7 linked regions of the Canis lupus familiaris genome follow. The protein of the gene in region 5 interacts with the protein of the main gene of each other region in a pairwise test. Links are inferred from orthologs where the notes say so. Each region holds a gene or a part of one and is shown on either strand. Other genes may lie near its edges. The genes, in order: RBBP8, GLI1, ABI2, MEOX2, PIN1, HOMEZ and CEP76.

Region 1 (3,500 bases), on a different chromosome or scaffold from region 5:
TTCTGGAAAAAAAAGATTTTGGCTAAAGATATTTTCCCCTTGTAATACTGAAACTGAGCTTTACTAAGAGAAATCTATTCATCAGAACAAGAAAAAACCCCTGGTTTATGGTGAAGAGGTCACTTCTGGTCATCAGTGCAATGGTATGACTATAAACTTCCCTCTACATTTTTATTAAATTAAAAAAAAATCAAATCTTACTTGGACTTTTCTCTCCCTTCTGCTCTTGCTTCTTCATTTTTAAAAGCACAGTTTCACTAACCAATGTGCAGTCCATGTCCACTGTCTCTCCTCCTGCTAATCTTGACTGACTGCCATCCTAAATATTTAAAAATTCAAAAATTTTAACAATTATCCCATATGGCCTTATATTTACTTTTTAAAAATTCTGGTAAAATATACACAGCATGAAATTGACCTTTTTTTTTTTTTTTTTTTTACCATATTTTAAGTGTACACTTCAATAGCATTAAGTTATATTTATTTTTATTCTTTAGGAATATATATAGATTTAGGTTTTATTGCCTGTAAAACATTTTAGCTTCAATACACAAGTATCCTCTCTCAAGCCCACAAAAAGAAGGACTGCTGCCAAGGAAGGGAGAGATGCATACCACTGACCTCCCTGGGCTTCTCCTCCCTTTCTTCTCCAGTTGGCTTCACAGTAATGAATGTCAGTGTACACAAAGAACAACAATTTCATACTGTACCAAGTTAAATACTTCATTAATATGCTCCCAAGTGAAAGAGTACTTTTCAAACTATATAAAACCTAAAAACAAGCCAAAAGAGTTATTTCCACTAGGAATTTTATCTTTTTTTTTTTTTTTTTAAGAGCAGGGGAGGGGCAGATGGAGGAGAGAGAGAATCTTAAGCTGGCTCCATGCCCAGCATGAGGCCAATGTGAGGCCTAACTCATGACCCTGAAATTATCACCAGAGCTGAAATCTAGAGTTGGACATTTAACTGAGCACCCAGGAGCCTGGGAATTTTAATTTTTAGAGAAATATACAGTATTTAAAAAATAGCCAACTGGGAAAATAATTTTTTTCTTTATGGTATGTTATTTTAAAAGTTAATCAAGGCATATGATGAATTATTTTGATAAAATATAAAATTATTAAGGGGCCTGTGGCTGGCTCAGTTGATTAAGTGTCTGCCTACTGCTCAGGTCATGATTCCAGGGTCCTGGGATTGAGCCCTGTATCGGGTTCCCTGTTTAGCAGGGAAATCTGCTTGTCCCTCTGCTCCTCCTAGTTTGCGTGCGCGCACTCTCTCTAATAAATAAATAAAATCTTTAAAATATATATGTGTGTGTATAAAATTATTAAAATATGTAATTAGCATTTTTCGTTATTTAATACTATAATATTTTTCAGCAAAGGCCTTTCTTTTTCATTTTTTTTAGGGGGGGGAGAGAGAGAGAGAGAAAGGGAGACAGAGACAGAGACAGAGAGAGAAGAGGGGCAAAGGGAGAGGGAGAGAATCTTAAGTAGGTTCAAAGCCCAGCATGGAGCCTAATGTAGAGCTCAATCTCACAACCCTGAGATCATGACCTGAGCTGAAATCAAGAGTCGGATGCTTAACCTACTGAGCCCCTTGGGTGTCTCAACAAAGGCCTTTAAAGTCAGAAAGTATTATTACCCTTTCAAAAACATCATAAAGTTAGAAGAATAAGCATTTTCATTTCTTAGTTTTCTGAATAAAGAAATGCAGGTTTTATTTGGAATAAATAAATGCAGATATGTGATTATCTTAACGTCACAGAGTTAGTTAGGGGAGAAGGATGACTAACAACTTACTAGAATAACCACATGGGCCTTGGTTTTACTTTCTAACTTACCTTTGTATCTACTACAGTAGTATCCATTTTATATTGAGAGAGGTCTGCTCCTGGATCTATGCTCCACTGGATATTTTCAAAGGATCCATCTTCAATAAGGAGAAAAAAATACAATTAAAATGGAAAAAATGGATTTTAAACATTCTTATCACTTTAAAACCTTATGAGATCCAAAGAATGGGAAAAAAGATTTGCAAATCCTCTATTTGCTAAAGGGGCTGCATCCAGGACATAAAAAGAACTCTCACAACTCAATAATAAGACAAATACCCCAACTGAAAATAAGCAAAGAATCTAAACAGACAATCCTCAAAGAAGATATACAAATGGCCAATAAGCATATGGAAAGACATTCAACAGCATTAGCTGTCAGGAAAAGGCAAATCAAAACCACAATGAGATAACACTTCATACCCAAAGTATGGCTAGAATAAAAAAGATAATAACAAGTATTGGTGAAAATGTAGAAAAATGGGAACTTTAAGTGTTGCTGATGGGAATGTAAAATGACATAGATGCTCTGGAAAACAGTTCCTCAAAAGGTTAAATACAGTTAGCATATGGTCTAACAATTTTACTCCTATATATAACTCAAAAAAGATGAAAATATACATCTACATAAGATTGCACTCAATGTTCTGCTATGAACATTCATAGTAGTGAAAAAATGAAAAGTCACAAAAAATCATATATGATTCCGTTCATATGAAAACACAATAGGCAAATCTATAGAGATAGAGGGTAGGCTAGTTGCCTGGGATTGGGAAAGAGGGAAGAGGAATGCAGAATGATTGCTAATGGGTATTGTTCTTCATGTAGAAAATTCTTTCTTACTCAAGTATAATTAACATCCAGTGTTATATTAGTTTCAGATGTACAATGTGATTCAATAGTTCTATACACTTCTCAGTGCTCATCAAGAAAGCGTACTCTTAATCCCCTTTATCTAGTTCACTGATTCCCACTCCCCCACCTCCCCTCTGGCAACCATCAGTTTGTTCTATGTATTTAAGAGTCTGCTTTAGTTTTGTCTCTTCTGTTTGTTTCTTAAATTCCACATGTAAGGGAAATCATACAGTATCTGTCTTTCTCTATTTCACTTAGCATTATACCCTCTAGGTCCATCCATGTTGTTGTAAATGGCAAGATATTTTTCTTTTCTATGACTCAGTAATATCACACTGTATATACATAACCGCATTTTTGTTTATTCATTGATTTATCTATGGACACTTGGGTTGCTTTCATATCCTGGCTACGGTAAATAATGCTACAATGAAATATGGGGTATATATATCTTTCTGAATTAGTATTCTCTTTTTAAAATTTTTTTAAAATATTTTATTTATTTATTCATGAGAGGCACAGAGAGAGAGAGAGAGAGAGAGAGGCAGAGACACAGGCAGAGGGAGAAGCAGGCTCTGTGCAGGGAGCCCGATGTGGGACTCAATCCCCAGACTCGAGATATGCCCTGAGCCAAAGGCAGATGCTCAACCACCGAGCCACTCAGGCACCCCCTGAATTAGTATTCTCATACACAGTAGTAGAATTATCGGATCATATGGTAATTCTATTTTTAATTTTTTGGAACCTCTACACTGTTTTCCATAGTAGCTGTACCAATCTGCATTCCTTTTTTTTTTTTTTTTAAAGATTT
Region 2 (4,157 bases), on a different chromosome or scaffold from region 5:
GGGAGAAGGGAAGGCACAGGCACCATCCAGGGGAGAAGAGCTGCGGGAGGAGAGGGTTGGGCCGGCGCTTCCCTCCTCAAACTCCGGCTTCGGCTCCAGCCCGGGTTTTCCCGCCTCCCGGGGCCGAGGGTGGGGTGGGGCGGGGTAGGGTGGAGAGCGCTCGGGAGCGGGCCCGGCCGGCGCGGTGGGTGATCCCGGGATGCTGGGATTTAGGGTAAGGGAGGGGTGAGATGGGGAGCGGAACCCGGACCCCACGACGCAGCCCGAGCCCCGCAGCCGGGACCGTACCCTTCCTAACTCCTCCTTTCCCAGCGCAGGGCCGGGCCCCGCATCCAAGACCTCCCAACTCGACCTTGGCACTTTGTGTGTGTGGGAGGGGGGGGGGGGGCACAGCTGGCTGGCAGCTGGATAGGGGGACACTTCTCCCGCCTCCTTCCTCTATGACTCACCGGGGGAAGGAGGCGGGGCCCGCAGACGACCCCCCAATACTAAGGAGACTCCCCCAAACGTGCCTACTCGGGCATCTTCCCGCGCCACTGCCCGCCGCCGAGGGGCCGCGACTAAACGGGGCGACATCCCCGCTCGCCCACGCGTGCCACAGCCCACCCACGTCTCCCCTTCGCCCTGGCGACAGGAAAATTTCGCCAACGTTTCCAGCTTCAGTTACGTCTTTTGCTGGGGTGTGGATGAGAGCGCAGGCCGGGGCAGGGGGCTGAGGGTCGCCCTGATGGAGCCCTGAATCACCCTCGGCGTCTCCCTACTTTCCGGAGGCCCCCTCGCACCCCCGCTCCCCAACTCCCAGGAGTAGGCCCCGCCCCCTCCTCCGGGTCCCGCCTTCCCCGCCCCCGTGCCTCCTCGGCCCACCCAAGTCGCCGCCGCAGGCTCTGGCTGCAGACGGCTCCGCTTCCCCCGCCCGCCCGGGAGCCCAGTGGAGCGAGCCGCGGCGGAGGGGGCGGGGGGGCGGGGGGCGGGACGCATTCTTCCCTCCTCCCCTCTGTGCGGCCAGAAAGCTGGCAGCGGCGCCCGGGGGGGCGGCGGGCACTGTTGGAGGGGGGGGGGGGTCCCCGTGGCTGGGTGGAAAGGAAAGAAGAATCCAGAAACTATAGGGAAAGAAGGTGCCTGGGTAAATAAAACAAGGTGTGTATGGGAGGAGGGAGGGGTCAGGACACCTTGGGTTTTGATTTTCGCAGCCGGCTTCCCAAGGGTTAACCCCTCCAGACCCCCGGGAACCCCTTAGTGACGTCAAGGGCGGGGTCTGTACTGCCTGGCTAGGGATGCCGGGGAGATAACTGGGGGGGTGTCTCTGGACCCCGCCCCCATAGGGAAAACCACCCTAATTCCGGCCCTTACAACTCCCCGGGGAAATCGCCCCGCCTTCCCCTCCCACTGGACAGTGAAGATCTATCCTATGAAGACCCCCAGTTCTCCAGCCCCCAAAACCTTAAGTCCCTAGTCACTATGGGATCCCCTTTCCTAATCCTGTCCCCAAAGCCAGCGGCCCAGGGCGGATTGTTTCGGGGTCACCGGGCCTGAAAGAGGCTTCAGAGCGGGGAGCAAGGGCAGGCAGGGTGGTCTGAGGCAGAGGAGGGGCCTCGGCCCCCAGCTCCCGTTGGGGAGGGGGGTCCAACCGGGATACTTAGGCAGGCAGTGGCCAGTGGTCCCGCCCAGTCCCAGTAGGGGTCTCCCTGCGGCTGGCCCAGCTGTCCCGGTGGTCCTGAGGTCAGAGGGTCAAGCCAGGGTCTCCTCAGCTCCGCCTCGGCACCCTGACCACGGCTCTGGGGACTCAGGAGTCCTAATTCCTTGAGGAGCCTTCTAGGGCCTAAACAAGACGCCGGCCCCTCCAGCCCCCTTCCTAATCCAGAAGACGCTCCGTTCCCGAGAACACATGCACCAGCAAACGCATCTGTCATAAGACAGGTCAGGGGTTCAAGCCGAGCCATCCCCCACTGGTTTGTCCCCTTGCACACACCCGTCTCCACCCCACCCAGGGCTCTCTCCGTGGCTGTTCCCTCCTTTCAGAAACCCTGACGTCTCCTGCGGCCCCGACACACCTGGACTTCCGTCCCTACCACGCAGACCTCCAGCTAGCCGTCCCTCCTGCCTCTTCATGCCAACCTCCTGGAAGTAACCTGTCCCTAATACATAGGAGAGGCGGAGACAGACAAAGAGATCCCCGGGTGCCTGGGACAGAGACACAGAGGCTGTCAGAGGAAGGAGAAGGAGAAGGAGAAGGAGGAGAAGGAGGAGGAGAAGAAAAAAGATACAGAGAAAGGGAGATACAAATGAAAAAAGTCCTTCAAACTTTCTAGATCTCGGCCCGGGCTCTCCCACCCCCTTTGTGCCTGGGTGCCCCGGGTCTCCCTCTGGGCTGGCCAGAGCCCGTCGCGAGCAGGGCATCCCCTCGCCCCCTCCCCTACGGTTCCCAGGTGGTCCCCCGCCCGCCCCCCTTCTCACCTCCTTCTGGGCGCCGGGCTCGGGATGCGCGGTCCAGGGCTGGAGTGTGGGCTGGGGGGTGTGCGGTGGGGAGGGGGGGCGCACAGGGCCACGGCAGCGCAGCCTCATGCCACCCCCACCCCCTCCTAACCTGGCCGCCAGCCCTCCCGCCGGCCCAGCCCGCCGGGCCGCGAGCCGGGACCACCCGCGAGAAGCGCAAACTTTTTTTTCCCTTTTGCAGAAACTTTTTCTCGCTCAGGCAGCTGGCGCGCCGCCGCTCTTCCCGCTCGCCTCTCACCTCCCTTCCACTTCCCTCCCTCTTGCCGCTCTGGAGAATGAGGCGGGGTAGCAAAAGCTAGAGAGGGGGTGCCGGGCTTATTGCACCCCCAGGACCCCCAGGATCCTCCCCCTCCCTGGAGGGACCCTATACTGCCTCCCCCCCCCCCCCCCCCCCCCGCTGAACACGCTGCTGCTGGTGGGCAATAAATCCCGGCATGGATCCTGGGATCGGCTGCCCACGGAGCGGCACCCCCACCCCAACCACAGTCAGAAAAAAACTAACAAATACATTGGGAGGTGGGGGGCGATGAAAAAGTTCATCCAAGAAAGATAATATTGGAGGGTAGCGCCGCCGACTTTGGTTGGTGCTGCGAGTATTGCGTCATCCTGCAGGTTATCTGTTGACCTCCCTCTTTCAGGGGAACATGAAGGGGTTAGGACAGATTTGGGGTTTGGTGCAAACAGGACTGGAACAGAGTTGGCTTAGAAGTGAAGGGTCTATAGGGCATCGAAGAGAGGGCAGCGGCTGAGGCTCCGGGTGCAGAGTGTGCGGTTCACACTAAGGAACCCTGGGGAGGCACTCAAGCGCTGTAACGCGGAGACACCCCCCACCCCCCACCCCCCCGCCCGGTGTCCTGCGTCTCTAAGTTCTGGAGACTGCGGGCACCTCCGCACCTCGAGGCCGCCGGCTCTCTGCTCTTCCAGGCTGTCTGCTCCCTCTGCTGGCCTCTCTGGCACATGGCACACTCCCGCAGGCTGCAGGCGGAGAAGACTGGGGGAGCTGCAGGAGTAGGAGGCTTCCTAGGTCCCCCCACCAAACCCCAGTTAGGAGCCCAGGGAGGGGTGTACCAGCCCAAAGAAACAGAAGGGCACCCTAGAAGAGGCTGCCAGTGCGGAACGGCAGCGTCTGAGAGGGGAGTGCCCTGTCCCTTCGGATCTGTGTTGCCATAGTGACTGGATGCAGGGGAAGGGGCAGCTATTTTAGTCTCTGTGACCTTTCTTTATGAGAAAGGGGAAAAAACGTGGTGAGGAAAAGGAGTCCTTTCCTTTCCTGTCACCCCTCAGATAGACCTCCCACATCTTAGCTCTGCTTCCAAGAAGCACCTTCTTGGGCCTGGAGAGTTAGTAGGTCAGCTATTAAGACTGAGGGTCAAGGGGAAAAGGTGAAAGTGGGAAGAGGTCTGAGGCCCTGCAAATATAGGTTGTAATTGTGGGGGAACAGATACAGAGTCCTGTTTCACTGTCCCTCCCCCATATGACTTTGGCCTAGACACCAGTTATACCCAGAGGTCAGGCAAGACCAGCGGTCAACGGGAGAAGGAGCCCTACACATTCTCCTGCCTCAGCCGTCTGCCCTTTCTTTCAGAGAAGCTCTTTTTTTTAAATTTTTAAAAAAGATCTTATTTATTTTTTTAAAAAAGATTTTATTTATTTATTCACGAGAG
Region 3 (3,500 bases), on a different chromosome or scaffold from region 5:
GGCATCCAGTCCCATGTCAGGGCTCCCTGTTCAGCAAGAGAGTCTGCTTCTGCCTCTGCCTCTCATCCCACTCGTGCTCTCACTCTCTCATAAAGAAATAAAAACAAAAAAAATATTAAAGTGCTATTACAGACACTATCCCATAAAACACCATCCAAAATCCATTTTAGCTAAAAGTATCCTTTAACACATTTAAACATCTGGTTATAGCTGCAGAGCTAAATATGTAATCTATGAAATATTTGGCAAGCTAAGGTGATGTGTGTCCAAACATACACATTTTTGTTAATAGATAAAGAATTTGTTTACTAACCAGCATCACTATTAACTTTGCAAATACATTTTGTAGCAACTGAATCTTCTTCCCCCTCCCCATCAAAACGGATTTTAGGTTGCTATTTTAAAACACTGAAACACCAGTTAACCTTAAGTAACATTTAACTAAACATGAAATTCTTTAAAAGTCCATTATCTAGGGACGCCTGGGTGGCTCAGTGGTTGAGCACCTGCCTTCAGCTCAGGGCGTGATCCCAGTGTCCTGGGATCAAGTCCTGCATCAGGCTCCCCAAAGGGAGCCTATTTCTCCCTCTGCCTATGTATTTGCCTCTCTCTGTGTGTCTCTCATGAATAAATAAAATCTTTTTAAAAAGTCCATTGTCCATATGTTTTCAGTGCTGCTATAATAGAGACTTCTAAACTGTTTTATCAGATATTTCCTATAAAATATACCTTATAATTATTTCCATATTATTTCCATAGACTTTTCTCTGTTAAAGTCTTAATCTGTAACAATATTTCTAACAACAACGTCTCAAAACTGTAAGAAGATGGCTCCATATTAAATTCACAGAACTCCAATAAATGAAATTCAAGCATTAAAAAAATGTGTATTTGTGTTACTCTACTGGAAAAAAGCATGTGAACTTTACCCTGATTTCCTCAGGAAATTCTATTCTTGGTCACATGCCATTTTCTAGTTAGTCTGTTATTCTTCAGATTTTATACACACACACAGCACAAACAAAAGTCATAAAGCCAGAGTTCCAGATAAAAGAGCCAGATGACTGGATGTGCCTGCCAAAGAACAAGCCATACTCACCTGTAGGGGGAGTGGAAGAAACAACAGGGGGAGTTGGAGAAGTGAAGCCATCAGCAAGGGTCTGGGCCCCCCCAGCAGCAGCGTCTGGGGCAGTGGAGGAAGGGACAGTAGCAGGAACAAGAGGGGCAGGGGCAGATGCAGAAGTAGCAGGAAGGGGAGGAGTACCAGCAGAGCCAGCGGGGGCTGAGGGGAAAGAGGAGTAAGAGGCGGCATTAATGAGGCAGACCCATTAGGCAGGATTAGAAAAAGCATTAGAGAACCTAATGTTAAATATTCAGCGCTTAACACTAACCAAAGAAAAGAAGAGAATAGGGAAAAAAATGAAGCTTATATTAAAGGATAATTAGGTTTGCAGCAAATAATTCAAAATGCTCAGGGCAATGTACAGATTTTTTAATTCATTAAAAACAGCATTCCGTTTTACCTGAAAGCCACTACTCTAAGAAAAGTAACTTTTCTACTGTATTGTACCTTTTATATTATAATTTTTAGCATAGTATTTTGTAAACAGTATACAAAACTAAACATAATACATTAGGAAACAGTATTCCATTTTGAAACACAAAAATCAGAAAATAAACATATTCTAGACAAAAACATTAGGTAAAAAAAAATCAGAAAAATCTTTTTCATGATTTTAAAAATATTATTATAAAAAAATTATTATCTATTTGGTATAAGTAAATTAAATACAAAAAAGTCTATCCCTAGGTCTTTTGTGTCACACTTTTAAAACTAAAGTTCAACTTTGATGAATAAATAAATTAAATAAGCACATTTTTCTGTTTCAGAAAAAAAAAGGTAGCATTTCAGAGTATTAAGTTCCAAGAGTCCACTAAATTTAACTGCCAAAACTACTTTTAAATTTGTCCAGTCCTTTTTTTACCTATGTGATTCTCACACTGTGTCCAAATGCACGCAATGTCATAACGCTGGAGTTAAACATATAACTCATACCCAGGAGGTACCTGAAACCTCAAAGCACCAACTGAGCCACTGCACCAAAGACAAAGCCAAATAACAGAGGTATGTGAGCATAAATTCAGAAATCACTTGGTTAAAAATAACAAATGCATAAAGATTTCCCAACATTTATGGAGTCCTAAAGGAAAAAAAATCTTCATTATGAAGAAAGCCCATCATTATTAAATTGGAAATTGAATTCAAATTCAAAAAAGACAAGTAAAGATGAGGCACCATTCATGTTTTACCTGGAAAGACACTGGGAGGAGAGGGAGTAGGAACAGCAATGGGAACACCCACACTCCCACTTCCACTGTTCTCCCGACTGCTGCTCCGACTACTTGGGTGACTTCCTCCACTACTCCCACTGCTGCTAAAGAAATAAGAGCCACCAAAACATGAGTATTTATATAAGATACCACCAGCACTTCCCAAAATTTTCTGAAATGAATATAGCTAAACAAAGATTATTCAAAAGCCCTCCATTTCATGTATTAATTTCTGAGTAAAACAGGAAAAAAACATGAGTTCAAGAAATTCATTCTGACTACCTTTTAATAAGCATCTATTAAAGAAAGTGAAATTGAGAAAGAAGGAAAAATTCTGTAGAAATATAAGTGGTAAGTGACAGGACTCAACACACAAAAATAGTATTACTTTTACTGCCTGAAGAAACTTGTTTTATAATAAAAAACACAGTTTTCCTAAACAGGTTATTTGATTAATTTTATTTATGATATCTTGGTGTACCATTTCATATTAATGTTTTACCATGTATAGTTTTTCATCTGTAAAGTTCCACCAAAAAACAACTTGCAATTTCCCACATCTAATCCATAACTTTTTTCCCCACATCTGGTCCATAACTTTCTTTCAGGTCAACTACAACTATTAATTTTTTAGAGAAGTTTGTATTTTTAAGATGTCTGTTTTTTCTGGGTTTATTATTTTTTTTCCAACTTCCTGACCTCAAAGCTGCATCAGAACATGAGGAGAGAGAGGCAGAATCAGATGAGGTTTGGGAGAGTAGAGTGAGGAAAAGAACTTAGTGCTTGGAAAATGAGAGAGATTTAACTGAAGTAATCTGAACAAATTATGGTACTATGACCATCACATTTTGCACTGAGGTAGAGAAAATACCTGTAAGTTCGATTTCTTTGATTCACAGAAGCTGTCCTCACAGGGCTCTGCTGCGAGGGAGCCATATTACGGGTTGGGCTAGGTACGTAATCATTTGGTACCACTGGAGGACGCACTGGCTCCAGTGTGCGATAGGGGGAGTGCCGCCTACAAAAAGAAGAGCGTATGTATTGTGTGATTAGCAAATTTCGGCACAATAAATTCAAAGAGTTGCCAGTAGTGAAATACAATTTGTATTCAGAGATAGGAAAATGTTTTAACATAACCCAGCTACCAATTTCAGTTTTTCCTTAAGTAT
Region 4 (4,072 bases), on a different chromosome or scaffold from region 5:
ACACCCCCTTTCGAAGTCTAAAACAATATTAGATTCCCAAAACATATCGGCAAAGAAAGTCTTACCGTCAAAAGCTTGCAGCAGGTTCCAGCTCAGACCCAGACTGAAAAGCTGAGCAGCTGGTGAACAAAAGTTTTAGCTTTTTTTTTTTTTTTTTTTTTAACGAAGTCTGCAAAACTAATTTCCCTCAAAATAGGGCTCAATTTCCGTTAAAGAAAGCAGCGCTTACAAATCTCAGAATTCCTGATCACCCCCACCCCATCCCACCTCTAAGCAATGGAAAACAATTCGAACTTTCACACGGATGTAAAGGTTTATTGAGAGGCCACTATTCAGCAGTGGGGCTTAAAAGACCAGGGAGATAGGCTGAAACCTGAAGGGACTAGTTGAGGGAAAGTTTCTGCCTTGGGGACACTTCTCAAAGATTAATCAATACTTTTTCCTAATTCAAACCAGATGGCTGGCCCGGTTTGCTGTCCTCATTAATCCCATTAACAACTTCAAAGACCTGGTCCCCATCCTCTGGACACGTGAGACAATGAAAATAACGGGGCTACACTGCTGGTGGCATGTTTGTGGTCCTGGGCGGCATAGGTGAGCGCCAATCTTCTGATGCGAACCGTCCCAGACAGGACTTGACTGTTTCTGTAGCTCATTCAGTGCGGCTCGCTTGCCTTGTGTAAACGACTGTGCCCCCAGCAGACAGTGTCACCCCTCAAGCAAGTGGCAGTGTTAAAGCCCAGCCGCCGCGCCTACTCACTGATTCACTGACGGCAAGTCTTCTAACTAATTTTGTATGATGCGAGAGCGGAACCAGGGAGATCTGAAGCAGCGCCCAGTTTCGGTGAACTTTGGGGGTTATCGAAGTGTAATATTTGCCCTGTAAATGGGACCATGGCGGCAGGCGCGGGAGGGGGGGGGGGTGGAAGGGGGAGCCAGAAGCAGTGCCATTAGTTGATTTATTTTCGAGCGGAAGAGAAGGTGAATTTCTGGAGGGAGACGAGGGGACATGAGCTGACTCCTGAGGGGAAAGACTGGAAATGTGCTTGCAAGATACCGCATCACATGTCACCACGGCGATAGCGCTTCGGGTTTTCCTGCCCGAAAAGTTTTGGGTTGACAAATGGCTAGGAATTTGACGTGGACCAGGAAAGCAAGGGCAAGGACGTTGTGCAAACAAAGCAGGAAAGGCATACTCAGATAGGAAGAGAAGAAAGACCCCCACCTGGCACCGCAGGTGAGGATGCCAGCGTCTCGGGACATCTTGCAACTGTTGCTGCCCCCACGCTTTTGTCCCCCGCACCCCAGCAGGTCTCTCTCTTTTCGGCGCTGAGAATGGCCCTTTTCCTACCCGCGGGGCACTTCCCAGAAACCTCGGATGCCGGGTCCGAGCGCGGTAACCACCCACCCGGACGGAGAAAACAGCTGCGAAAAGCTAGACGCGCCGCTGCGCCCTGGGCACGAGTCGATGCAGAGTTTGAAAAACTTGTCTGAGCGCGCGCCAAACTAATCTTTTTTTTTTTTTTTTTTTTTTTTTTTTCCGTAATCCTACTTCCCCTTTCGAGCCCAAGAGCCGGGCGTACCCCGAGCTTTCCCGCAGGTGACAGCGCCCGAGTGGCAGTGACAAGAGAAGTGAGCGGGTCGGGCGGTGGGTGCAGAGTTGGGGCTGGCGTGCGCGGGCGGGCGCGGAGGGCACCTTGGCGGCCCGGCGGGCGGGGAGAGCCGCTGTCCGCGCGGCTGGGGCTGGGGCTCGGGCTCGGGCTCGGGCTCGGGCTCGGGCCGGGCTCAGGCGCCAGGCGCGCGGCTCGCAGCCTGGGCTGCTGGCAAGGGCGGGCGGGCGTGGACGCAGTGCGCACGTCCAGCCGGAGATAGGAAGTGGAACTGGGAGCGCGTGGCGCAGACTGAGCGGGAGTTTTGGAGGGAGTTTGCATGTGGTCAGCTCCGGGCTCCTGAGCCAGCCCCCAGCTCACATTACACTCTATTTATAACCTCTCAGAGCCGTTTCCCCCTGAACGCAGTTCTCTGGGACCACCTTCTTTTGGCTTCAACCTCTCCTACTCTTGACATCTGAGTAGCTCGAAGGGAAGCTTCTCCAGGTCCGAGTGTTTATATGTAAAGGAGACTGGCCGCTAGGGCTCCGGACCGGGATTATCCGAGCTCTGCAGAAACGGCGGGTAAAATTTGTTTGGGAGGGGGAAAACACACGGTTTCCAGTGAAAAGTGACAGAGGGTGGTAGCGTTCGGAACCATCGTGAAGTCTTCTGCCTGGAACCTGAGACGTGCATGCTATGGAACACCCGCTCTTTGGCTGCCTGCGCAGCCCTCACGCCACCGCGCAAGGCTTGCACCCGTTTTCCCAGTCCTCTCTCGCCCTCCATGGAAGATCTGACCATATGTCCTACCCCGAGCTCTCCACTTCTTCCTCGTCTTGCATAATCGCGGGATACCCCAACGAGGAGGGCATGTTTGCCAGCCAGCATCACAGGGGGCACCACCACCACCACCATCACCACCACCACCACCACCAGCAGCAGCAGCACCAAGCTCTGCAAACCAACTGGCACCTTCCGCAGATGTCCTCCCCCCCGAGCGCGGCTCGTCACAGCCTCTGCCTCCAGCCGGATTCGGGAGGGCCCCCGGAGCTGGGGAGCAGCCCGCCGGTCCTGTGTTCCAATTCTTCCAGCTTGGGCTCCAGCACCCCGACCGGGGCCGCGTGCGCGCCAGGAGACTACGGCCGCCAGGCGCTGTCACCCGCGGAGGCGGAGAAGAGAAGTGGCGGCAAAAGGAAAAGTGATAGCTCAGGTAAGAGCGCACCGGGCACGGTCGGCGAAAGGGGGCGGGGAAAGGACAGAGAAGCTTCTGGCGCTACAGTGAGGCGGCGGGGAATAGGGTACGCGTCTCGCCCTCTCTGGCTCCGCGCCGCCAAATTCGGCGGGGGCTGCTTTGGTCCTGTTATTTGGGGGCACGTGTTTCTCTCCAAGGGCAACACTGCAGCCAACAGCGATAAGCTCTCCAAAGTTCAAACTAGTTTACCAGAGGGTTAAGAAAAAAGGACAAGTGACAGTACGTGAAATCGATTGCAAAGCGTGACCTTCCATCTGAGCGGTGGGGAGGGGAGCGCACCCGGGGTTGCGGCGTCCGCTGGGCGTGCGTGCGGGTGCCGCTCCTTGACTCTTCCCTTGCAAGTTCCCGACTCCGACTGGCTCGATTTTTCCCATCGTTAACTGGATTTCCAAATTATTGCACAATATTTGGAACTTGCAGTGGAACTTGGCAGAACGTATGAGAAAAAAAAAAAAGTTTTAGTTTTTTTTTTTTTTTATTCTGATTTCAGAGTTCTTTAAATAGCACCCTATTCCAAATGGTAAAAAAAAAGAAAAAAAAATCCCTTTCTTGGGGAAGGAGACAATCTAGGAATTCAGAGGATTTTAAGGAATGTGTCAAAGAACGGTAAATAAATACATGCTCAGACTCTTGCGGAAAAAAAAAACGATTTTTAATAGTAGTTGTATTCGTGTGGTGCTAATCTAAATAGGGAATCTGAGTTTCAAAGTGGAAAGTAAAATATCTTTCTGTTGAGTATTATTGGAGGCAAGTATTTGGAAACAAACAGCAGCCGGGGTAGTGCTGGTTCTCTACGTGCTTAAGGCTGGTATTCGAGGGTGCGCGCAGGAGGCGCTGATCTATGTGGGGATAACTTGAGTGGCCACGCAAAAGCGAACCTTACTAAATGCAGATGCTTGAATGCGCAGACTGCCAAGTAAATTGTAGCAATCCCAGACACTAAAGCTTTCCAAGCAACTCCTTAAAGCCCTTCACAATCTGTATCATCGTCCAATTGTTAAGAGATACTTTACAATTAAGGGACTTGTGGATTTTCTTCTGTAGCTACAGCGTGCCCTGCGTTCCATCCCTTTTGGAAAGTGTCATTTGTTTAATATAATATTTACACATTTTTCTTCTTTTGTGGAATTGGTTTAACAGTCCTAGAAGGCAATGACAGGTATTGATGCGAAGGATTGGAAGATGTTTGTTTTTCATAATGCTTTAGGTAAGATCCCACGTAAATGGC
Region 5 (3,500 bases):
AGAGCTCGGGATGGGTAGAGCTGAGATCTGAATACAACAGTGGGGGAGTCTAGAGTTTACCCGCCTTGGCCTCAGAGACGCATGGAGCAGGCCAGCCTGTGACCTCCCAGCAGCGACAGATGCACTTCTGTCATGCAGCCAGTTTCAAAGGCCCCCCAACTCCCCAAATCAGGTAAAAGTTCCCTGCTTCAGATGGGGAGCTCCTTGAGAGGCTGCCCCCCAGGATCTGCCTCTCACCTGGAGCGCCCGTTGGATGGAGTGCCGTCTCGGTGAGGGGTGTTGAGGCAGGCTGGCTAGGTCAGGGCATCGCCAGGAGGGTGGCAGGGGGTGTTTGGTATGTGCTTCCTTTTCCTCCCCCCTTGAGCATTTGGATCTAAGGCACAGAGGAAAGAGACATGAGATTCCAGCATTTCTGTCTAAGGAGCGGAGGGGTGGATCCCTCTCCCTCCTTCTCTGTGGCCTGTTTCTGTCTCATTTATTCATGAATTCCTTCAGCATTAGGGAGCACCTGTTCTGTGCACAGGGCCAGGTGCTGGGAACACAGCAGCGAGCAAGGCCCACTGGCCCTGCCCTCCCAGTCTGAGGCAGGTGACACACAGATGGGACACTGGCAAATGTAGGGGGGCACCTCCCACAGCGGGGTCTTAGGAAAGACTCCTGGATGAGGCCAGAGGACAACAAATGAGCTTCCTATGGGAAGAGACCATTAAGCAAAGGCCTCGAGGTGGCAGGGGCAGGGCAGACTGGGAGGGCTGTCACGGGGGCTGGGTTAATACTGAGCCCAGGGGATGCACAGGGGCCTGAGGGTTCCCTTGCATCTTGGCTTGTGGCCAGACTCCTGACGGGCAGCTTCTAGAAAGAGGAGATGAGAAAGCAGTGATTTTTTTTTGTTTGTTTTTAAGTCACTTGAGGCTCCTGTCCAAGCAGAACATTTCCTGAGAGTTGGCTGATCAGAGGAAGATTTGGGTGCTATGAACTATGGCGGGCAGAAACTTGGCTTTTATTTGATTTTTGGGCTGATATCTGTGTGTACCATGGCCAGGCCATCTAGTCTCAGGGATCCCTGCTGACTCACAGCATCGGCTCCTGGAGGATGCGGCAAGGTGGTGCTGTACTGGGCTCGGCTCTGCAGGTGCGGGGCCTGTGCCCGGAGCCGGGCAGGTTACAGCAGGGAGCACTGTATGCACAGGATTCTCTGGCCAGCGAATCGAGGTCCAGACAAGGGAAAGGAGGAAGAATCTTGAGGCTGCCCAGGTGAGGCGAAGAGATAGCCCGGAGTCCAGGGAGTAGAGAAGTCTCGGTGATGTCCAGTTCAGGCTGGATCACTAATGGGTGCAGCTAGCACTGGGGGGCCACCTAGCAGCCCCAGCGGGCATGGTCAGCCCCAGCATGGGCATTGCAGGCAGAAGCCACCCCTGCCCATGGAGGGTGGGGCTCATGTCGCACTGGCAAGCTTTTCTGACCAGGCAGCCTGTCCCATGACAAGATGCACAGGCAGGATAGCCCAGGGATGGGCAAGTCACACAGAAACGGGGGGAGTCTTATCACTGAGACGCGTGGCCCTTATGGATGGGAGAATTGTGACAGCACCTAACATTTGTCAGAGTCTCCATGGCAGGCACACTGTGCTGTCACTGTGGTCTGCTGGCAGATGACTAATGGGCCAGCAGCAGAGGGATGGTTGGGACATGGGGATGACAGGGTGAGGGGGACAGCAGTGGAAGGCCCCCAGTGGACCAGATACCAGGACCCAGGCGCTGCCATGGTGTGGGACAGGATGGGGTGATAGATGTGTTGTCACAGTTGTGTTGTTTCAGTTGTGGTCATAGCGGAGTTTGCACGAGCTCAGCAGGCAGATGGCCCCGGCTGGGTGTCTGGGCCTCAGTTCGCCAGGTGGCTTAATCAGCAGCGTCCCTGTGGTGCTCAGACAGGAGCAGTGGAGGGTGGTGTGCAGAAGCCCACTAGCAGGGATAACAGGGTGATCCTCACACCCGGGGTGGGCTGGGTGGGTGTGCAGAATGTCCCCAGGAGAGTAGCTGTCAGGGAGGCCATGTGGGACCAGGGTGGTCTGGAGCTGCATGTCCTGGGAGTCCACCCCGTGGCTGCGCCTGTGGGTGCAGGGACAAGACTGGCAGGAATGTTCCTTCAAGCGCTGGGGCAGCTGGTTGGAGCAGGATGGGGCATTTTGAGGAGGAGAGGGTGGGCTCTGGCTCTAGGGGCTCCTGCCTGGAACCTGGACTCAGGAGCAACAGGAGGCTCTTCCTCACCACGCAAACACAGCCTTCCTATGTGCCCTGCTCCCCACATGTGAGTCATATAGGTGCTCAGTGCAGCCTCAGCCTTCCCCCACCCCCCGCCCCCAGGAGATGAGTCCCCAGCGGAAGCAGTTTGTACCACACACAGGATGCATCCAGTGTGATGCCACCACAGCCTTTTAGGGCAGCTGCAAGAACGGTGTCGGCTGCTATGAGGCCATGTCCATGGAAATGACACATGTCCCGTCTCGGCTGCCTTGTGGTCTCTTCACGACGCCCCACTTAGCAGCCTGGGCCTTCCTCCCAGTTCCAATAGGTTGGACAGTTGAGGCCCAGGGGATCCGCCAACAGCTCCTGTGGCAGAGCTGGCCTGGTGCCCCAGCCTCCTGCCTTTCTCCTGGAAACTTCTAGAAAATTTCCCCATCAGTGCCTTGTGGGATCTTGGCAGGGCCCTGGGTCCCAGCATCCCTCTTCAGTATTTGCCCTGCTTTTTGCCCTCCTCCCCAACAGGGCCTAGAGGTAGAGATTTTCCCCAAAATATGTGTTGGGGTGTGGGAAAAGGTCATGTTGTGTTCATGTTATGTCTGTAGGGGGCGGGAGGTAGGAGTGGCAAAGGGAGCTGGGGTGGGGGAACGGGCTCTGAGACCAGTGTGGCTATTGAGGCCACCACAGGGTCAGGGGGCGCACACTTGGTGGCGGGGGGGTGGGGGGTGTTCATGAATGTGTGTGGAGCGAGTGGTCACCCTTGCAAATAGGGCAGGGGTTGCGTGCCTCCTTTCCGAGGGAAGTGCCCCCTCCATCAGGAGCCCCCCGCTCCATCCCACCCTGCCTTTGATGAGAGGTCTCCCTGTATGTCCACAGGCTACATCCAGAAGATCAAGTCAGGAGAGGAAGACTTTGAATCTCTGGCCTCACAGTTCAGCGACTGCAGTTCGGCCAAGGCCAGGGGAGACCTGGGTGCCTTCAGCAGAGGTGCGCAAGGAGTGGGCACTACCTGGCCCTAGAGGAGCCTCTGTCCCAGCCGCGGGGATCCCCCTGCCAGGGGGAGGTTGGGAGGGGTAGCCCCGGCTGTGCAGGTCTTCAGGGTCCACCAGGTGGCAGCACAGTCCCGCAGGCTCCAGAGGGACTCCCACTGCTGGGGGGTTGGCTGGGCTGCAGAGCCCTCTGCCTGGCTTCCTTTCCCCCCTGCGGTGGGAAGTCCGTCTGTGGGTCCCTCGATGCAGTTGTCCCCATCATGGACACGGC
Region 6 (4,147 bases), on a different chromosome or scaffold from region 5:
AGAACTGGACAGGTTTAGGAGAGGAAAAATCCAAGGATAGAAGAAATCCACCTGCCCCTATTCTAGAGTGTGTGCTGAAGACTCCCTCTTATGTGGATTTCACTCTAAAACTTTAGAAGATGGAGTAGACTGTATGGGGATTGGAAGAGAGGAAGAGATCCAGGCTATCCGAGATGGGAGGGCCCCACCTTTAGCAAGATAACGAACCTTCCCAGCTCTTCCAGGGACTAGTGCTGAAGAATGGGGACTCATCATGCCATCCTCAATATAGAGATGTTAATCCCCCATATTGGTGGAAGTTCTCTCTTCCTTTGCATGACTTAGATATTAGCAGGATTAACCAAGAGGCACATTTACCCTATAGCTAAAGAAGCTGAAGTTTCAGGGCCATCTCTTGCACAGACCTCTTCCAAAGCACTGAAGGAGCCCCAAGAACATGTTAACATGGTCATAGTTTTTTGTAAAACTTGAAAAAAATATTTCAACTGCAATTGACTAAGATTGATGTCTCTTTCCTTTCTGACTTCCCCTCCATTATACTTCTTTTGTCAAGTGGCAGTGGAGGGGCCATAGGCATTTTGGGATTGGTTAAGGAAATTAAGTTGGGGATACATTTGCTTTGGGTTGAGTAGGTCTATCACTGTGGTTTGCAGTTACTTCTGTAAATAGTTTAATAGTAAGCATAGTGTTAGGGGCTGAACTGTGTTGTCCACCCCCCCACACACACACACACACACTCCATATTCTTACTGTGAAGTACTAAGTCTCGATACCTTGGAATATAACTGTATTTGGAAACAAGGTCTATAAAGAGGTAGTTAAGTTAAACTGAGGTCTTCAGGGTGAGTCCTAATCCAATATGACTGGTATCTTTAGAATAGGAAATTTGGACACAGACACGAACATAGGAACGACCATGGGAACACATAGGGAGATGGGTATCTATAAGCCAAGGAGAGGAACCTCAGAATGAAGTCAACCCTGTGGATACCTTGACCTCAGACTTCTACCCTCTACAATTGTAAGGGAATTTCTGGCTAAAGCCACCCAGTCTGTTGTATTTTTGTATGGCAGCTCTAGCTGACTAATACATCTACATTAATACGAATGTCAACGATCCAGAGCATATTAGTCATTACAAATTTGAAATGCTCTGAAATTTTATATCACATACATCAAGGAAATTTGATAGTGTTTTTTTCAAGTTTGATAAAAATCTGAAAAAAATTGTGATTTTTTTTAATTTTTTTTTAAGATTTTATTTATTTATTCATAGATACAGAGAGAGAGAGAGGCAGAGGGAGAAGCAGACATCAGAAGCAGACAGAGGGAGAAGCAGGCATCATACAGAGAGCCTGACGTGGGACTCGATCCAGGGTCTCGATCCAGGGTCTCCAGGATCACGCCCTGGGCTGCAGGCGGCGCTAAACCGCTGCGCCACCAGGGCTGCCCAAAATTGTGATATTCTTATCACTTATAAAGTGTGAAGGTGAAAATTTTCTAAATCACTAAGAATAAAAAAAAGTGTCATGTAGAAGACTTTTCTATACTCCTTAGAGAAAACATTCTCATCATAGAAGCTATCAAGAGCATGCACTCAGAAATAAAATTGTAAAAAAAAAAAAAAATGCTTGTCAAGTAGGTTTTAAAATTTTATTTTTCTTGATTTTATGATATTGTATTTGTCAGCTCTTTAAAATTTTTATCTTTTCTCATTCTAAACTATTTTCACTTTTGTGACTAATGTGTTTTTCTTTTAAAAGTCTCCAAAAAGGGGCATCTGGGTGGCTCAGTGGTTGAGCATCTGCCTTTGGCTCAGGGTGTGATCTCGGTGTCCTGGGATAGAGTCCTGCATTGGACTCCCCATGGGGAGCCTGTTTCTCCCTCTGCCTATGTCTCAGCCTCTGTGTCTCATGAATAAGTTTTTTAAAAAGCCCCAAAAATTGTGCTTCAGGCACCCCAAAACTAGCATCTACCCCTGGGACAACCCAAATGGATATGGGGAGTTTCTGCCTCACTTAGGGGAAACATGCTCCACCATTTTGTGCCCGGTCTCCTAAGAAATCCAAAAGCTGAGGGCTGACCAATCAGAACTGCAACTATTAAAAGATTTGGGATAGCTAAAGCTGCAGTGAAGGAATTTGTGGAAGAATTTCAGACAGACGTAGCACTAAACTGTGAGAAGCCAGGAAAGACATTAGGGCCACGGAGGGACTTTAGGCAATAAGCCACAGAGAAAAACCCTGGGAAGCCCCCCACTTACCTCTCTTTGGGTGTCTGCTCCTCATGCTGACTCTACCCTTCAGCATATCTAGCTTCACAACGTAAGTGTGGGTGCTCTGTAGTGACATCACAACTTGGCCATTATGATGAAATTAGGAGAATCTGATTATTCTCAGGTTAGGGCTTTCCTATTAGAAACATTGTCTCATTTGTGGGTAACTGAATTCTCTCATTGTTCAGGTGATGTGGAAGTCAAAATTATGTTAGAACCTGATCTTTTTCAAGGATGCCTCACTTTAATATTTATTGTTCCACTCTGGATTAGACAGAGGTCTTTGCTTTTCCTCTTCATATTTCTTGTGCTTTACTTTAGGGTTGCCCTTGATAGAGAAAAGGGCTTTGCTCTGCCCTTCAGTGCTTAAGAAGAATGTAACTTAGATGGTCCCCCGACACAAGGGGAAACTCGGGGATTTTATCCTTTAACTGTACCAGGAATTGGTGCTGGGTGCTAGGGAACTAGAGCTGGGCCCCCTGATAACTTTCCTGCCACTACCCAAATGGTGGGATTCTATTGGGGTGTCTTATACCAGTGCTGCCCAGCTCCTCTGTATCTTCTGCCCATCCAACTTTTGTGTAGCAATAGGACACCAATGGACAGGGCTTTTAGGAAATGAGATGACCAAGAAATGGGAAATAGGGAAGAGGAATCTTGCCGCTGGGTCTCTTGCCACCCCCCCCCCCCGAAAAAATCAATTTATCTCAGTATCTTATAATATACTTTCATATTTTACCTTTATTTCAAACATGAGGCCTCTTAACCAGAAGGGAGGGCAGTTGCATGAGGAAGCTGAAGTGAGGCTCAGCGCTAGTGGGATTGGGGCCCAGAGAACAGGGCTGCGCTGTGAAGGGGATGAGGACACTCTGGGACGGCCTGATGAGAACTGTGGTTTGGGGGGATTCACATAGCAAACATGCAATTCCTCTCCAGGTTAGCTAGTCAATGGGTGAGTTATTCAGTCTTTTTTTTTTTTTTTTTAGCAACTTCACTGTTCCTTAGCAATATCACCCAAAGTGCCAAGGCTTGGGAGAACAGAGAAAACTACAAGTGCCTTTTGTTTCTTTTTATGCCGGTATAGAAAAGGGAGTGGAAACTAGCAGCAGAAAATGAAACATTTGTGATATTATCCTTGCCATGAAAAACCCCAGGTCTGATTGTGCAGCAGCCTGTTTTCTAGCCTGGGAGTGGGATATGGTCAGGAAGGCTGGGGTTAAGCCCCATCTCCAGCTGCACTAACAAATTCTCTGACCTTGCTGAAGTCACTCCATCTCCGGACCTGTGTTCTCATCTGTACTGAAGCAGGGACCCCAGTGATCTCTAAAGATAAGCTTTTCCAGGTCTCTGATTATATGACTTGCAGATTGCAGGGATCCAGAGTTGCTCCAGAGAAACACAGGTGTTAGAAGGGAAGGCGGGTGTTAGACTGAAAAGTTCAGGGGTTAGGACTTACTATGAAGAGAAATAATGAGCTGCATTCATAAAGAGAAACAAGGTACAAGAAGAAGGCTCGTAGGTGTTAAGACAGGTTGGTGTAGGGAAACATCTGAGGTCTAGATGAGAGAAATGGGCAATGTTCCAGCTGTGTTGCTTCAAGGGTTCAAGCCCCTAACCAGGGTAATGTTTTCTCTTACAGTGCTGTCTCGTCCACAGCTGACGTATTATATGTTAAATTGTTCCTGTTCATATAGTCACCAGCCTTTAGGGGAAAGGACTCATCCCAATGCCTAATATGTAACACATCTCTAAAGATTGCTTCAAACTTCTAGTATTTCCCATTCCAGATTAGACCACCAGCTTACCCCCAGGCCCTGGGGCAGCTCTATTTGGGAAGAACTAGAAGATTCAGGTGTTGGCTCTCTAAAGCTG
Region 7 (3,500 bases), on a different chromosome or scaffold from region 5:
AGTTCAGATCATGAGATCCACCCCCGCACTTGGGTCCATGCTTAGCACAGAGTCTGCTTATCCCCACTCTGCCCTCATCTCCTACTCTAGTTAATTAATTAATTTTAAAAAAATCTTTAAATTCCTAAGACAGTTAACATTTACAAATTCATAAATTCCACCTTACCGAAGACATGTAGCAAATGCGCGCCTTGCATTTCTATAGACAAAATGTATTGGGAACCCTTTAAATGTGTGACCATCAGGTACAGCCCTCCTTATGGCATCTTGAAATTCTTCATTGCCTGCAGATATACTTGTCGTACGCTCAAATTCATAAGAAGCCAAAGCTGGTGATAAGAGATAGGAAAGCTGGTCTTCCCAAACAGTAGTGAGCCCAAGATCCTACAGCAATCGAAAAATAAAAAGAAAAGGTGAAATATACTAGTATTTTAATAACCAATTATAAGTGTTGGTGATTTTAATACATTTAAAATATAAAAAATATTTTAATATAAAGCCCATCATAACTTTTTAAATTTTCTATTATGATAAGGACACGTACAAATAAAGGAACTACAGGTACCTGGTTTTACTTAGAAGTAAAAAAAAGAAAAAACTTTTAATACATTGATGTTAGTAAAGGCTCAAAAATCTGTACTTCCTTAATATTCACTAGAAAATACTACATGGAACAGTCCTACTATGGAAAACACAGTGCTGCTGAAATCTGAAATCACGTTTTATTTAAAGAGTAAGATTGAATCAGCTTAATTTAATTGTTCCAACACAAATTCAACTATAGTAGGAGAGAAAAGTCAACAAATGAATTACATGATAATACTAACTTTTATACCGTAAAGGGATATAAAGGTGAAAAGATATGCTTTAGGCCTTCAGGGAGCTTAAAACATGTTTCTATAGAATGTTGAAGGCATTTAAGATTTCACTTGTGGTATGAAATGAACTCCATATATCTATACACGTGATATTTTAAAAACATTGTTACAAAAAAAATTTTCTCAAAAATTCTAAATATTTTGATTATCATAATAGATCTCTGCCATTTCCTGATTTTGTATTCAAGGTTTTAGCTGGTTCCAAGTAACCCCAAAGGTCTATGTTCATCTATCTTTTTTTCTGTGGCGAAAAGTAAATCTCACTTACTGGCTTTCAGGCACCATTAACTTAATGATCAACACTAGCATCTAGCTCAGTTTTTTGTTTTCTTTTTCTACATAAATTCCTATTACAATAAAATACTGGTCTTATTTGTAAACAAGACCTAGGAAAACTAAAAGGCAGTATAGTATGAGTGATGGAGGGAAAGATGCAGTAATGAGGGGCTTTCATTCTCCGCAGTGTAAGTGAAGTAGGTCCTTGAACAACCTACTGCTGAGAACAAACTATAAGTGCCAGATTACTTTCCAAAATACACTTCTAAAAGCTTTGATGAGTTGGCAAGTGAGTAGAGCAGATTTTAGAAGCCAAACTAATAGTAATTGGAAGCCCAGAAAACATAGTTAATAAATCACTTTGCCTTTGATGCCCTCAAGGAACACAGTAAACAGGATTCACTGAAGGTGGAGAGTCTATTATGGAATGCCAAAAGATGAATTAGAAATAAGTCTTCTGAGATTCTAGTCCTTTGATGGTTATGTGTTGCACCCACTCCAATCATGTTTTCATTCATTCCCTGACTGGTTTCTTCCAATGAACAAAAATTCTTAAAATATACTAATCTTTTTATATCTTTTTATGTTTGTTATGTCTAATGCACAAAAGAAATCTAAATGGCTAATAAGAGGACTGATCTCATTAATAATCAGGGCAATGCAAATTAAAACTAGAATGAGAATATAATTTTACATCCAGCTAAATTCATGTGATAGGGCAAAATAAAACCAACCTGGAAAAAAATGATTATGAAAAAAATATAACCCAGTATTTTCAGTAGGAATAATATGAATTAAGTACTCCACAGAAAAATAAATCCAAAGAGTGGTATTCAGCAAAAGTCTGAACTAGTTTACCACTCTTCATTTCTAGAAGTAATAAATTCTAAAAATATTAGTGAGTTTGGAAACTTTTGGTCTCAGAACCTAACTCTCATGACTTTCAAAACTACAAGCTTAAAGGCAGGAACAAAATTTGTTTTGTTCAGGGCTAGAACAGTGACTGGTACTATCCTAGCTGCCCTCCTCCCCTTATTATTGTTAAATACATAAACAAATGAAAAAAAATGCATGAAACTACAAATATCAGTATATATCAGTATTAATTACCTTCCTGTGTTCTGACACTAGCAGTCTTAGCTGCATTTCTATTTCATTACTTGTTACTGAAGCATCAATTGTGGATGCACATAGAGGGGGAAAAGGAGGAAGGGATGTTGTAGCTCCTGGAGCGCACACAGATCTGATTGCTTCTTCACTCATGGGTTTCCATTTGGATTCATCATTCAAATCAAATACACAGATTTCTACTGAGTCAGAGGGCTGACAATTTCCCAAGAACATCTGATGATTGAAAACACAACCAATTGTTCGATATGGGTACAGAGGTTTGGGCTGTTCTGCAACTGGAGATTCATCAGGATTGGCAGGTTTGTGGATGTACCTAAAAAAAGTAAAGTATAATTTTATACAGTAAAAACTTAAAAATTAAGATGGTAACATTTATTAAGAAAGATATTTAGGGCTATAACTATTTCCCAGGACTAGAGTTTAATACTTGTTTTTTCTTATATTTCTACAATTTTATTACAGTAATTGTATGGCACATATGATATAAAAATCAACTTTATTCAACATGAGAATATATTCTATGTATAACCATTAAGATCAAAATCATTCATCTCAAATAGCACAATTAAAATACTTTAGCTATACATTAATAGGTACAACTAACAAAAATGATTATCAACCAGGGGAAAATTAAAAAACCTAAGAAGATGGCCCAGGGCTATGCCTTTAGAAACTCCATTTGTAGATCAGATAAAGGTGAAGTAAGAACAGCCAGATAAGAATAATATAAACTAAAAAAAAAAAAAAAAAAAAAGGAATAATGAAAACTGAAAGACAATGCTATGGTAGAAGCTAAGGAAAGAGATGGTTCCAGGAAAGAGGGAACACCGAACTCTTTCAAAATCTGATGGCAGTCCAAAGAGCTAAGAAAAGCATACAGTGAATTTACCAATGTGGAATTGGTGACATCAAATTTTCAAAAGAAATCATGATTTACAACCTCAATTTATTTTTAGGCTTGGGGAAAAACATTAGAAAAAGCATATGCCAATTACAAAATTTAAAATAAATTATTTTTTAACCAATATTATATTATATTAATATATTAATATTATTATATTATATTGGTAAAGAATATTTTAGGTGTACAAATTTTCTTCAAATTAAGAGCTGTTTTAATTGAAGTAATCTTTTGCTTGGTCATAAAAAGGCTCTAATAATGAAAATTATTAATTTGTGCGTTTGAGTACCATCTAATATAAACAAAGAATCCTT

Evidence for each region.
Region 1: the proteins of PIN1 (region 5) and RBBP8 interact in binary tests that used the Homo sapiens proteins (3 or more experiments, as listed by UniProt). The two-hybrid records come from large-scale screens. The link is inferred for Canis lupus familiaris from reciprocal best matches to the Homo sapiens genes PIN1 and RBBP8.
Region 2: the proteins of PIN1 (region 5) and GLI1 interact in binary tests that used the Homo sapiens proteins (3 or more experiments, as listed by UniProt). The link is inferred for Canis lupus familiaris from reciprocal best matches to the Homo sapiens genes PIN1 and GLI1.
Region 3: the proteins of PIN1 (region 5) and ABI2 interact in binary tests that used the Homo sapiens proteins (3 or more experiments, as listed by UniProt). The link is inferred for Canis lupus familiaris from reciprocal best matches to the Homo sapiens genes PIN1 and ABI2.
Region 4: the proteins of PIN1 (region 5) and MEOX2 interact in binary tests that used the Homo sapiens proteins (3 or more experiments, as listed by UniProt). The two-hybrid records come from large-scale screens. The link is inferred for Canis lupus familiaris from reciprocal best matches to the Homo sapiens genes PIN1 and MEOX2.
Region 6: the proteins of PIN1 (region 5) and HOMEZ interact in binary tests that used the Homo sapiens proteins (3 or more experiments, as listed by UniProt). The two-hybrid records come from large-scale screens. The link is inferred for Canis lupus familiaris from reciprocal best matches to the Homo sapiens genes PIN1 and HOMEZ.
Region 7: the proteins of PIN1 (region 5) and CEP76 interact in binary tests that used the Homo sapiens proteins (3 or more experiments, as listed by UniProt). The two-hybrid records come from large-scale screens. The link is inferred for Canis lupus familiaris from reciprocal best matches to the Homo sapiens genes PIN1 and CEP76.

Annotation. Positions count from the first base shown.
Region 1 is NC_049228.1:65,288,209-65,291,708, forward strand, and holds part of RBBP8 (DNA endonuclease RBBP8), read right to left. Parts: intron 1,933-3,500; coding exon 1,844-1,932; intron 320-1,843; coding exon 202-319; intron 1-201. UniProt on the Homo sapiens protein: Endonuclease that cooperates with the MRE11-RAD50-NBN (MRN) complex in DNA-end resection, the first step of double-strand break (DSB) repair through the homologous recombination (HR) pathway.
Region 2 is NC_049231.1:1,917,677-1,921,833, reverse strand, and holds the start of GLI1 (zinc finger protein GLI1), read right to left. Parts: upstream 2,801-4,157; 5' UTR 2,455-2,800; intron 1-2,454. UniProt on the Homo sapiens protein: Acts as a transcriptional activator. Binds to the DNA consensus sequence 5'-GACCACCCA-3'. Regulates the transcription of specific genes during normal development.
Region 3 is NC_049258.1:12,103,411-12,106,910, reverse strand, and holds part of ABI2 (abl interactor 2), read right to left. Parts: intron 3,350-3,500; coding exon 3,203-3,349; intron 2,436-3,202; coding exon 2,311-2,435; intron 1,283-2,310; coding exon 1,100-1,282; intron 1-1,099. UniProt on the Homo sapiens protein: Regulator of actin cytoskeleton dynamics underlying cell motility and adhesion. Functions as a component of the WAVE complex, which activates actin nucleating machinery Arp2/3 to drive lamellipodia formation.
Region 4 is NC_049235.1:30,370,403-30,374,474, reverse strand, and holds the start of MEOX2 (homeobox protein MOX-2), read left to right. Parts: upstream 1-1,272; 5' UTR 1,273-1,632; intron 1,633-1,835; exon of another isoform or gene 1,836-1,996; 5' UTR 1,997-2,288; coding exon 2,289-2,802; intron 2,803-4,072. UniProt on the Homo sapiens protein: Mesodermal transcription factor that plays a key role in somitogenesis and somitogenesis and limb muscle differentiation. Required during limb development for normal appendicular muscle formation and for the normal regulation of myogenic genes.
Region 5 is NC_049241.1:51,553,172-51,556,671, reverse strand, and holds part of PIN1 (peptidyl-prolyl cis-trans isomerase NIMA-interacting 1), read left to right. Parts: intron 1-237; exon of another isoform or gene 238-373; intron 374-1,075; exon of another isoform or gene 1,076-2,108; intron 2,109-2,394; exon of another isoform or gene 2,395-2,662; intron 2,663-3,116; coding exon 3,117-3,227; intron 3,228-3,500. UniProt on the Homo sapiens protein: Peptidyl-prolyl cis/trans isomerase (PPIase) that binds to and isomerizes specific phosphorylated Ser/Thr-Pro (pSer/Thr-Pro) motifs.
Region 6 is NC_049229.1:3,678,737-3,682,883, forward strand, and holds the start of HOMEZ (homeobox and leucine zipper protein Homez), read right to left. Parts: upstream 2,801-4,147; 5' UTR 2,352-2,800; coding exon 2,264-2,351; intron 1-2,263. UniProt on the Homo sapiens protein: May function as a transcriptional regulator.
Region 7 is NC_049228.1:78,163,202-78,166,701, forward strand, and holds part of CEP76 (centrosomal protein of 76 kDa), read right to left. Parts: intron 2,599-3,500; coding exon 2,265-2,598; intron 385-2,264; coding exon 167-384; intron 1-166. UniProt on the Homo sapiens protein: Centrosomal protein involved in regulation of centriole duplication. Required to limit centriole duplication to once per cell cycle by preventing centriole reduplication.